Diceros bicornis minor: one gene and its partners. The protein of the gene in region 3 interacts with the protein of the main gene of each other region in a pairwise test. Links are inferred from orthologs where the notes say so. Each region holds a gene or a part of one and is shown on either strand. Other genes may lie near its edges. The genes, in order: MAPKBP1, CA9 and GLRX3.

What was found.
Region 1: the proteins of GLRX3 (region 3) and MAPKBP1 interact in binary tests that used the Homo sapiens proteins (3 or more experiments, as listed by UniProt). The two-hybrid records come from large-scale screens. The link is inferred for Diceros bicornis minor from reciprocal best matches to the Homo sapiens genes GLRX3 and MAPKBP1.
Region 2: the proteins of GLRX3 (region 3) and CA9 interact in binary tests that used the Homo sapiens proteins (3 or more experiments, as listed by UniProt). The two-hybrid records come from large-scale screens. The link is inferred for Diceros bicornis minor from reciprocal best matches to the Homo sapiens genes GLRX3 and CA9.

Annotation. Positions count from the first base shown.
Region 1 is NC_080744.1:39,433,911-39,437,656, reverse strand, and holds the start of MAPKBP1 (mitogen-activated protein kinase-binding protein 1), read right to left. Parts: upstream 2,941-3,746; 5' UTR 1,993-2,940; intron 1,875-1,992; exon of another isoform or gene 1,575-1,874; 5' UTR 1,349-1,574; coding exon 1,232-1,348; intron 1-1,231. UniProt on the Homo sapiens protein: Negative regulator of NOD2 function. It down-regulates NOD2-induced processes such as activation of NF-kappa-B signaling, IL8 secretion and antibacterial response. Involved in JNK signaling pathway.
Region 2 is NC_080767.1:4,100,142-4,103,887, reverse strand, and holds the start of CA9 (carbonic anhydrase 9), read right to left. Parts: upstream 2,834-3,746; 5' UTR 2,758-2,833; coding exon 2,358-2,757; intron 1,505-2,357; coding exon 1,475-1,504; intron 1,202-1,474; coding exon 1,031-1,201; intron 875-1,030; coding exon 732-874; intron 650-731; coding exon 557-649; intron 1-556. UniProt on the Homo sapiens protein: Catalyzes the interconversion between carbon dioxide and water and the dissociated ions of carbonic acid (i.e. bicarbonate and hydrogen ions).
Region 3 is NC_080745.1:92,341,471-92,345,216, reverse strand, and holds the start of GLRX3 (glutaredoxin-3), read right to left. Parts: upstream 2,931-3,746; 5' UTR 2,910-2,930; coding exon 2,821-2,909; intron 1-2,820. UniProt on the Homo sapiens protein: Together with BOLA2, acts as a cytosolic iron-sulfur (Fe-S) cluster assembly factor that facilitates [2Fe-2S] cluster insertion into a subset of cytosolic proteins.

The DNA of each region.
Region 1 (3,746 bases), on a different chromosome or scaffold from region 3:
GTCAAATCTAAGACAGTTTCTCAGTTTCAGGCTCATTCTCCTGCCCCTGCAGAATATGAACAATGATTAATAAGAGACCTTAGAAAGGTCACTATCTCCACTGCCATGGAACCTTGTGGCCAATTTCAATTCAATACAATATCTGCTGAAATATACAGGAAAGCTGTTCACCTTCTGACCAAATCCAAGTAAGGTTCTGCTAAGGGGTAGGGATCTGAACAAATCCCTCCCAGAACCCTGCCATGTTGTACATTAGCACTCTAAATCATTCCTCATTGGCTTTACGTGATACAGGCAAGGCAATAAAACGCTTCGGTCTCAAATGTCTCTCCCTGTAGCAATCCTGTACCACATAAAGCTACTGTGTTTACAGCCTACTAATAAGACACAAAAGTCTAATCTGATCCTGTGGGAACAAAACCCTAGACCCCCTCAGAGATTAAATAAATTTAGTCTACTTTTGTATTGTCAAAGTTGTGGGGCTCAACAAAGTTGAAGAAAGCATAAAGACCAACACCCAGACAAGTGAGGGGATGGAAAGTGACCTGGCATCTGAGGTACTTCTGCAGCAGAGCTCTGTGCATCTAGTGAATGAGATAAGTAATGCTCAAGGGCAAACCAGAACTGTTCTGCGGGCAGATATCTGGCTCCTTGCATGTTACCATTCCTAAGAAGCCAAGAAGCTTCAGTTAAATTAATCTAAGTCTCTTGAAGAGACAAATAAATTTGTTTTGACCCAGGCAAGGGCATTTACCAAGCCAATTCCTCAGTCTAGGTGTTTTAGCATATTTCTTTCTGCTACTACTGTCTTACATAACCCCAGCTGTGACACTAACACTTGTAGTTACATTAGTCACAGCTTAGCCCATCACAGGGTATGTGGTCTCACCACCTTCTTCCAAGAAGGGAAACTGAGTCATAGCATATCAACTGGCTTCCCCAAGCACAGACTTAGGTTGTAGTGAGGCCACAATTAAACCCAAGTTGCCTTCCTCCTATTTCTCTCTTTTCATGGATGATTCTCAGCATGCCCAACCCTGTGCTCTTCTTCCTTTAATCTAAAACTAAATCAATGCTTTCTTGAGCAGCAGAGACGGGCACACTTGATCCTTTAGAGCCAACAGGAGCTTCTAGTTCTCCTCTTTCCAAAGATAAAGAGGAAGGTGAAAGAGGAACATGGAGCAGAGGAGGGGAGGGTTACAAAGGGGTGGCTCCCAACACTAGGACTCACCTTGGAGCTGAGGTCCTCTCTCCGGTTTCCTGCCTTACTCCTGCGTAATTTGATGGATGGGGATCGCAGCAGGTTCTTGATCCGGCTGGTAATGGTTGACCCTTCCACAGCCATCATGATGAGGAGCCCCTGGGACAGTTCCTTGCCCAATCTTGGGACTTGTCTCAACAGTGGCACTGCCTTCCCACTCCACAGGGCCTTCCAGTATGCCCTCTCACTGACTTGAGATGGCAGAGGCCACCTTACCTTCTGCCTAGCCGTGTCTGCAGGTCTTATTTCTAGGTATTGCTCTCTCCCTTTTCCTCATCCCCGCCTTCAAGCCCTGCGCGGTTTCTTACAACGTCTGAAGGATAGACCCATGAAAAAGGGGGGTAAAAAGCCTGAGCTATGACGAAATGCCAGGCCCACGCCTGCCAGAGGCGTTTAACTGGAGGGATAGGACGGGCCCTAGTAGGACTAGTGGCTGGTCTGGTCCCCGTTAATTCCCAACTGTTCCCATGGCAACTGCAGTGTCCAAGGCAAGAGGCCACCGAGAAGTCCCGCAAGGGGCCTGGGCACCTGTGTTAGCGGCTGCGGGGACACTCGGCGCGGCGTGGCTCGCTGTGGCCCGGCAACTCGTTCTGCCACGGGAGCCTCCCTCCCCCACCCCCGACCCTCCGGAGCTCGCTCTTGGTGCTCCACAGGAGCCCTGGACCTTTCTCTTTCACCTCCCTCAGAAACCCCTGCTACTCGCCAGCGCCCCCGCTCGGGCCCGGCCTCACCAGCCCCAGGGCCGGACCGCCCGGCTCACAGCGCCCTCAGGCATCGCGCTCGGCGCTCTTAGCTCCGCGGCGGCAGCTGTAAGAGCAGCTATGGTGGCAGGAGCGGCTCAAAACGCGAACTACCGCCTGGGCCAAGCTACGGGCGGGGTAGGCGGAGCCGCAGCGAGGGGGTGCGGTCTGTATCCAGGAGGGCGTTCCGAGAGTGGACGAGTAAGGTTCATGGGGGCGGAGCCAATGAAAGCGGCTAGGAAGCAGAGGACATGGGACTCGAGAACCACGGATTCTGCAAACGGAGACGCCGCGGTATCGCTCCTAGAGGAAGGTCAACAGAACACGGCTTCAGAATTGAGAGAACCAAGCCTTTTATGGTATTATCAGGACTGGTCCCCTAGAGATCGGCACTTCCCAGAGCCCCAACAAGATGGTAACCACGCCCGCAGGGTGCTACAGCTGGCATTTGATAGGCCCGAGAGACCAGAACTGAAACTAACCCCTAAGTCAGAATTGTAAGATTGAGGTACAGCCATAAGGCTCTGCTCCCATCGACCCCAAACCGGGGAATTTAAAGCGATTAGTTTCTACTCTCCGCCTGCCCGCCCGCGTTGACCTACGTGGAAATTACTCTCCTAACTCTTTCCATCGCTAAAGTGTTTTGAACTGGGCAACCTGATTGGCCATGATGGAAGAAAGAGGAGGGAGATGATAGCCTTGAATAGAGCTTTAGGCATGTGCGGGAAGGGGAAGATAAGTGAATGTGCCTATGGGATATATTTGTTTCATGGTTTCTTTAACCTTTAGCTAGTCCCGCCGAGCTCTTTTACCTAGAATTAACCAGGACCTTGTTGGTCCAGATGTTTTCCTTGTTTATGTCAAAATTTTCTCGTGAAACCTTTTCCCTAGTACTGTTACTTTAGCGAGGTCACTGTCAAGCTTGCTGGCACTAGTTTTAGCAGCATAGTTTTTCTAAACGGGGTGGGGGGGGGCGGGGCGGGCGGCACAGAAATACTTTTACATATTCCTATTTCATAGATGTCTCAGCCTGCAAGTTTATTTTCTGGAAGCCTTACTGTCTCATTGCTACTTCAAGAAATTGCCTTATGAAAAGGTTAGCCTAAGCTAAAAGACTTGGGGTCCCAGAGAAAAAATACACTGGTGTACCTGTCTCAGCCTATCCAGATCCTTGGAACCCCTGGGGGAGATATGTTAGCAAGAGGGAAGGACCTCTAAACCCATCGCTGTGGGTGGGTCTTGTACAGCCAAGTGGCAAAATAAGTATGTACCTGTGTGTATTGTAGCCACGTTTTAAAAACGAAATCTATAAAAAGCTCACGTTGACACAAAGATCAAGGAAGCCACCTCCTAGAAAACCAACTGGCAATACCTACCAGAAGCTTCCTTCCCTTCAACCATGCACTGCAGATGTAAGGAAATACAAAATGAGATTTTCACATTTATTTCCCAAATCTAGACGAAGGAGGCAAGAGTCATTAGCCACACAGTATGAAATAGGGGGTTGGTTCCTTCAACTCCTTGCTAGCCTGTAACTTTACCTCTCTGTGGGGGTAGGAGCCAATCTGTAACTGCTAATAGATGGTGCCACCTGGTGTCCTTACTTGTATGCTGCATTCCCCAGCAACTGCCATCTCTACCCATAAGAGTTGTCCTCAATTCTCTCCAGATCATTTTTGTGTGCACTAGTGGTTTTCTCACTTACCTAACCACTCATGGCCAGGCAAAGGTGTTTACAAAGTATC
Region 2 (3,746 bases), on a different chromosome or scaffold from region 3:
GAGCCTGGCAGGTGTCTCACCAGCCCTCCATTTTATCAGCCTCCTCTAATCATTGTGTATGTCGCCTTGATCACTACAGGTCCAAAGAGGTCACTAAATGTTTCTCTAGACTTTAGTGCATTTCACAAAGGGGAAATTATGGGTTATAGGAGTATTAGAGAAATTACTCTTCCTGATGCCCAGTCTAGTGCATCTGCCACTCATTCCCTGAATGGGCTATATTCTGAGTTTTCCCATAGTGAAGGCTTCAAGTTTCACCTCCTCTGTGAAGCCTTCCTGACCGCCTCTTTTACTCTGACTACTCTCATATATGTGTATCCTGTCGGCCTCCCTCCTGTCGGCCTCCCTGACTGGCTGTGGGTTCCTGAGAGACAAGGACCCACGGTTTCTGGCCCAGTGCCTAACTCACAGTGGATACTGAACGCACGAACTAATGAGTGAATGAGGATGACAGCCAGGTGCTAGGGTGAGTGTGCTGGGATGGGGTCTCTGGAAGCAGGATACGCGGAGCCCGGGGCCTGGGGAAGCAGGGAGCGGGAGTGTCCAGGGCTGGTACCTGAAGAAAGGCGGCCAACACGGCCAGGCCCCCCGGGCGCCCCAGGGCCTCGTCCACTTTGGCAAATGCAGTGCTGATGTGAACCACGTGGATCTGGAGAGGACATGAGTGCAGGAGTGGGCAAGATCCAGGGCCCGCGCCCCCTTCCCCCCTTGGCAGACAGCTGCGCGCTCACCTCGGCCGGGAAACGGTGGCCGCCAACCGTGTGCTCCGAGCCCGGGAGGCCCGCAGCCCCCCAGTGCAGATGTAGCTGCAAGGCCCGGTACTCCCGCCCGGGGCCCAGGGCCATGTCCAGCCCTGGAGGCAGGGTCAGCTGCACTGCGGGCGGGAGAGGCAGGTGAGCCGGGCCGGCCCCGCCCGGAGGGCCAGCCCAATTCCGGAGCACCACCCGCTTCGCCACGCTCCTTCGCACCCCCAGATAGCCTCCGCCCCCCGCCCCCCGCCCGCCCGAGGCTCCACCCCGAAACCCCTCACCCGTGTGGCCATTGTTGCGCAGGCGCAATTCTGGGATCGGCGGGAGCTCAAAGCCCAAGAGTTGCAGCGGGCGCAGCGCTGGGCAAAATGCGGTGAGCTCGGGGGAGATATCCACCGGGGATTGGAAGCGGCCTGCGCAGGCTGGGGACACCTGGGGCCAGGGCGGGTCGCCTGGGGTGGGAAAGTATGGGCAGGAAGTCTGGTGACAAGATCGGGAACTTTTAGGAAAGCGGGGTAGAAAAAGTAAGGGGCAGAGTCAGGAGGCATCGGGGCGGGAAATAGAAATCCGGGATGTGGACGGAGACAGGCAGCGGGCGGTGTCGGGGCCTGGCAGACGTGGGTGCAGTGGGGGGACACCCAGGACCAGAGTTCGGGGATGTTTGAGGGGCAGATCAGAAGAGCTGGGTGCCCAGACTGGGTCTGTGCAGGGGGTGGGTGTCTCACCTCCGTAGCGCCAGCGTCTGTGGTCATCACCTGCATAAATGAGATGAAAAGGCCGATCTTCAGCCCAGTCTCTCCCCGTGGCCAGAACGCGGTGGGCCCCTCTCACTAGCAGGGGTTCACAAACTCAGATGCCTTACAGGGCAGACAAGTGACAGAAATGCCTAAAGCGGGACACGTGTAAAGCACAATAGATTGCAGCCAAACATACCACCACAGCCTGGTGGGCCACACAAAGACCCTACTGGCCTTGGAGATACCAGTTTGCAGCCATTGTCTTACGGTCTGCAAAGTGGGTGGGGCCTCAGTCCCACGCCCAAATCAGTACCCCATCTTTCCTTTCTCCCTTACTCCTCTCCTCCCCACTCATCCCTCTTCCCTTTCTTTTCTCCAACTCCTTTCCAAAAGTTCCTGGCTTGGGATTCATGATACCATGTTCCCCTACCTGCTGTTTCCTTCTTCCTAGGTCTCAGTTTCTTCATCTGCAGACTGAAGATGGGGTGATCTCTACAAGTCCTTCCTCCTCTTCCTCTGGTCCCCTCATCTTCCCTCGTCTCTTCTCTCATACTCTTCCCTCTTACCACCTATGTTCTCCCTCTCCACATTCCTCATCACTTGCTCCTCTCCAACCTCCCGCTTTCTTCTTTCCCATCTCTCCCTGCTCACCTCTCTCCATCTGTGTCCCACTTTTGTCTCCCCATCCGTCCCCTTCTAGCTCTGAAAGGGGAGAAGGGTCTAGTGGCATGGGAGCCCCTGGGGTTGGGAAAGGCTGTTGTCAGAGTGCAGGCTCCTCTCCTTCCCTGAAGAACCACTGCGTGGGCTGAGGTTGGTGAGGGAAGGCACGAACCTGCCAGAGCCTAGGTTTGGAGGACTGACAACCACTTACCTTTATTGTCCCTGTGGGCATTATTCTGGGGGCCTCTAGTGTCCCTGGGAGCCTCAACAGTAGGTAGGTCCTCTAACTTCAGAGAGTCCTCTTCTTCTGTTTCAGTCTTCATTCCAGGTGGGTCCTCCTCTCCAGGTGGGTCCTCCTCACTGGGGAGGTCATTCTCGCCCAGTGGATCCTCTTCCCCAGATGAATCTCCTCCCATGGGGGGAGTTTCCTGCATCTGGGGCAGGCTCTGGGGATGGGCAGGCACCAGGAGCAGCAGTAACAACAGCAGTTGCACAGCGGGGTCCTGGCCAGGGGCCGGGATCAACAGAGGGAGCCAGGGGCTGGGGCACAGGGGAGCCATGCGGCTGACTGCGGGGTGTCGGGACATGGTGTGTACGGGCTGTACGTGCATCAGAGACAGGAGCTGGGTTAGGGAGGAGCAAGCCTGGAGGGGAGCAGGCTGACTCACAGAATGCCCTTTTGTAGAGACGGAGCCAAAGTCTCACAGGTCTGTCTGGCCCTGTGCCCCCTCTCCGATACCAAAGCCTGGATGGGGGTGGAGTGGGGGGCAGGTATGTGCACAGGCAGAAGGTTATCGGGGTCATGGGCTCAGCCTGGAACCCAAGGCACCACCTGGCACTATACAGGCTCTCCCTGGTGCCGCCAGGCTGCTCGCCAGCCAGCTCCAGCTAACCCTGGCCTACTTCCCGGCCCCAGGCAGGGAAAGGGAAAGACAGGGAGCTGGGGCCCCCACAGCCTCTGGCTGAGAGGGGAAGCAACCCATGTCTACATCCTTGGCCCAGCCAGGGAGCAGTAAAGGGGTAGGACAATCTGGAGGAGCCCGGGGTCGGGGAGGGGGTGGTGGTGGTGGAATGGATGAGTAGATGGGAGGTGAATTTGAGTGTGAATGGAAAACTGAGTATATGTATGAGAGGGACTCTGATGGGTTTAAACTAAATTTATTTTTCATCATATTACACCTCTGCTCAAGAACCTCCATTGGCTTCCCACTACCTACCAAAGTATCGTCCATCTGTCCATCTGCCCCCTCTAGCTGACTTCCAAGTCCTTTCAAAATCTTACCTGAGAGACCTTTCCATCTTATCTCCTGCTACTCTCCCTCATTGTCCAGCCAAATTAAACTATTCATTTTTTCCCCAAAACTTTGACCACATTTGTTCCTCTAGTTCTCACTGCCTGGAATGCCATTCACTCCTACAATTAACAAGTATTCATTTAGCATCTACCATGTGTCAGGCACAGGGCTATGGACTCGAGGTAAAGAAATGAATAAGACACGGTCCCTGTCCTGAGGAGCTCACTGTCTAGTGAGTGATGGCAAATATTATCATAATATTTAGAGGAAAGTGAATAATTCTGCCTCAGAAGGTAATACAGAAA
Region 3 (3,746 bases):
TTCGGCAGCCCGGGGTTCAAGAGTTCGGATCCCAGGCGCAGACCTAGGCACTGCTTACCAAGCCATGCTGTGGTGGCGTCCCACCTATAAAGTAGAGGAAGATGCGAACGGATGTTAGCTCAGGGCCAACTTTCCTCAGCAAAAAGAGGACTGACTGGCAACAGATGTTAGCTCAGGGCTAATCTTCCTCACCAAAAATAAATAAATAAATAAATAGGAACCTTTCACAAATTTCTTACACACCTTAAGTACCTACCCTAAGGAAGTAATTAAAAAGACAAAGATTTATGTATATGAATACTTTCCCATTATTTTACATAGAAAATAACTGTAAAAATCTATTGTTCAACAATATAGTTTTTTAATGGTCAAGCAATAAAATATTATAACACCATTAAAAATCATATTTCAAGTAATTTTTAATGGCATGAGAAAATGCTCACAATATGATTACAGTTTTTAAAAAATTAAAATAGGTTACCAAACTGTTTAACAGTAAGAGCCAACATACGTAAAACAGAAAAGGACACACACAACTTAAATTCCATTACTACTAATGTGGCTTTGAAGAGTAATTTAACTTCTCTTAACTTCCACATTTGTAAAATAACAATAACTAACACCCTGGGATGTTGGGAAGATCAAACAAGAATATAAAAGCACTTTGAAAACATTAAAGAATGATATTAATTAACAATGTTAATTGTTATTTTAAATTATCCACACTATTCTCAAATTTAGATGCTTAACTTCCACTTTTCAATTAAGTACAGGATACGTAATATCATAAGAACATAAACGTGAAGCAAACATAAATGCTGTCATCCCCTCCTGGATTATATGTGACAGGATTCTCTCCACCTTTGTGGATAGCCCAACATGCAGGGTGCATTGTTTAAGGAAAACTTTTAGAGAAAGACCAGGGTCAAATCCTGACTAATGTGATTTTAAACAATGTAATGAGCTTCAGTTCTTCATCAATAAAACAATCAGTGCTCAATAAATGGTTGTCTCTCTATTAAGGGTCTTCTGCTCCTACGGTTATTCATCCGCAGGTAACACCAGCTACCATTTATTAAACACTATCATATACTAGACTCTGTTTAATATTTTATAAATGGGCAAAACCTTAATTACTCTGCAAATGGGTATTAATCCCCATTGTATAGACCAACTGAGGTTTCAGTAACAAACTGATTAGATGACTGAAGCAAAAAAAAAATTTCAACTCATACAAAATTTTTTAATTGAGAAGTGATGATTTGGAAAGTACACTTTGATTACATTGAAGAGTACTATTTAATAATGTTAAACTTTTCCATTTTCACAAAAAGCAGCAGAGATTTATTCCTTCCCCAGATGCCACGCGTCATTTCCCACGTGCCCATTTAAACTAACCATTATGGAAAAGGTATGTTGTTTTCTGGGTCCTTTCAAGTACAGACCAGTGGCAAGAAAACACCCAAATGGTATTCACATTTAAGCTTTTACCAGTTGTATTATTTTTAAAGACTTTTATGTTAAAAAAATGAAACATAAAAACAAAAATGTGAAAACACACAAAAAGCAAAAGAGTCTTCCAAGTGATACTAAGTTCAAACACTTATTAAGGGCAGGTCCACACAAGCCCTGCTCATTTCAGGAGGCCACCTCTGGAGTACTCCGTAACCGTGCTGCTTTACGATCTGTGGCGTGTTGCATGAATCAGAACCCGCCTTTCATCAATGAGTAAACGTCATTTCCCGGCCACCTCCCCTAGCTTTTTTTTTTTTTTAAACAATTTTCCAAGTAAACCTGAAATGCTGCAAGAGCTGTTAACTTAACCCCATTCTCAACAAAAGCACCTCCCCATCTCATCTGCACTCTCCATCTCATTCTTCCAATCAGAGCACTACCCGCCTCTAATCCACAATCCCACTGCATTCAGGTCAACAAGTACTTATTGCCTGTGAACTCCACGCAAGCCCTCTGCTCCCCACTGAACACAGGGCTCCCGCATGCAAGGCTATGACATGGCATGCCATTATGTTACGTGCATCCTCTCATTTAATCCTCACAGCCCCGAAGCGGGCACGATTCCAACCCATCTCCCGCGGAGGAAACTCAGGTCTGGTAACGAAACCCGCCCAGCGGTTCCACGGCTAGCAGGCGGCTGAGTTGGGGACCGGCTCCCAGGAACCCGACGCCGGAGCTCGCATCTTACCCACCAGCAGGACCGCCGAGAACCACCCGGTCCCCGGAGGGCGCTACAAGGGGAAGTGGTACCACCCCTAGGAAGCCCCCGTGCGCCCGCGAGCTGACTGTGAGCGTTTGTACGGCTCGGGATGTCCATCTGTCCCCCAACAGGGGCTCTACGCACCCCTGCCGGCCTCTGAAGTCGTCCGAGAGCGAGAGGCCGGGTGCCACCGGGACAGCCCGCGAAGCCGGTTGGGGAGACAGGAAACCCCCGGCCGCAGCCGCGGGCGCGCTTGGGACGCGAGCGCGGCCCGAGTGTCCACAGGCCTCACCCGCCCCCTCCAGGGCGGCAGGACCGCCCCCGCCGGGCCTGCCCCAACCGCCGGGTGCGGACCGGCGGCGGGGTCTCCGCGCCTCCGGCCGGGCTGAGTCACCGCGGCCGCCGCGCCCAGGCCGCCAGGCGACAGGCAGGATCGGGGCGCGGGCCTGGAGCGCCCGGCGGGCCGGGGGTCGGGACGGGCCCCCTCCTCTTCCGGGCCGGGAGCTGGGGGTCCGGGGCTGCCCCGGCCGCTCCGCCCAGGCCCAGCCGAGCCGGGCCGCCCGCCGCCCCGTGCCCTCGCCCCCGCCGCCCGCCGCCCGGCTTACTTGGCTCTGAGGCGCAGCAGCTCCTCAAACTGCCGGGCCGAGCCGACCTCCACCACCGCCGCCGCCGCCTCAGCCGCCCCCGCCGCCATGCTGCCGCCGCCAGACACGACCAATCGAGCGCGGGCGGCGGAGGCGGGGCCTCGGGACGCTGCGTGCGGACGCCCCGCCCCGCCCCGCCGGGGCCTGCGCGCGCGGAGACTGAAGTGCCGGAGCGCGGGGCTTCCGGCCGCGCCTGGGGGCGCAGCAGCGCCTGACCCCCGAGGATCCTGACTGTCGGGAGTCCCGCCCTCGGAGATCCGGGCGGTCGGGCCTCCTGCCTCCCGGGGCCCCGGGCCTTCCTCGCGGCTCCTCCAGCAGCCGGGAGAGGGGTGTGCGCGTGGGTGACGTGTGTAAGTGAAGTCAGGTGTGCCCATGTAACAAGCTGAAATTTTAATCTAAAATGGAATTATGCAAAGCCGGGGATGGAATGAGAGGTCAGGGAAAGGGAGGTTGCGCCGTCTCCGAATGTCAACACTGACAGGGCGCTTCGAACTCGGTCCTGAAGGACCACGCACCCCCGCCACCGCGTGTCCGGCCGCAGGCGCCCCCGGCGGTGCCACCCCTGGGCTCAGCCCGTGCGCGGACCCATCACCCACGGTGACCTAGGAGCAGCAGGGCCCGGGCGGGTGCGCCGCCTCCCAGAACCACAGGCCCAGCTCCCGGACCCCCACGCTCCTTTCCAGGATCTCGCCCCTGCTTCCAGGACCCCCGCACCCCTCTCTCTCGGGCCCCTCTAACCTCGGGGCCGTCCCTGGCTCCCCTTGGCATCCCCCTCACGTTGACTCTCCAGGTGGTGTCCTCTCCCCGACTTTCCGCTCCGCCTTGTCGTGCCTCCCACACACTCCGCCGCCTGGGTAATCTTGTCCATGCCCCTAATTTCTTCCACT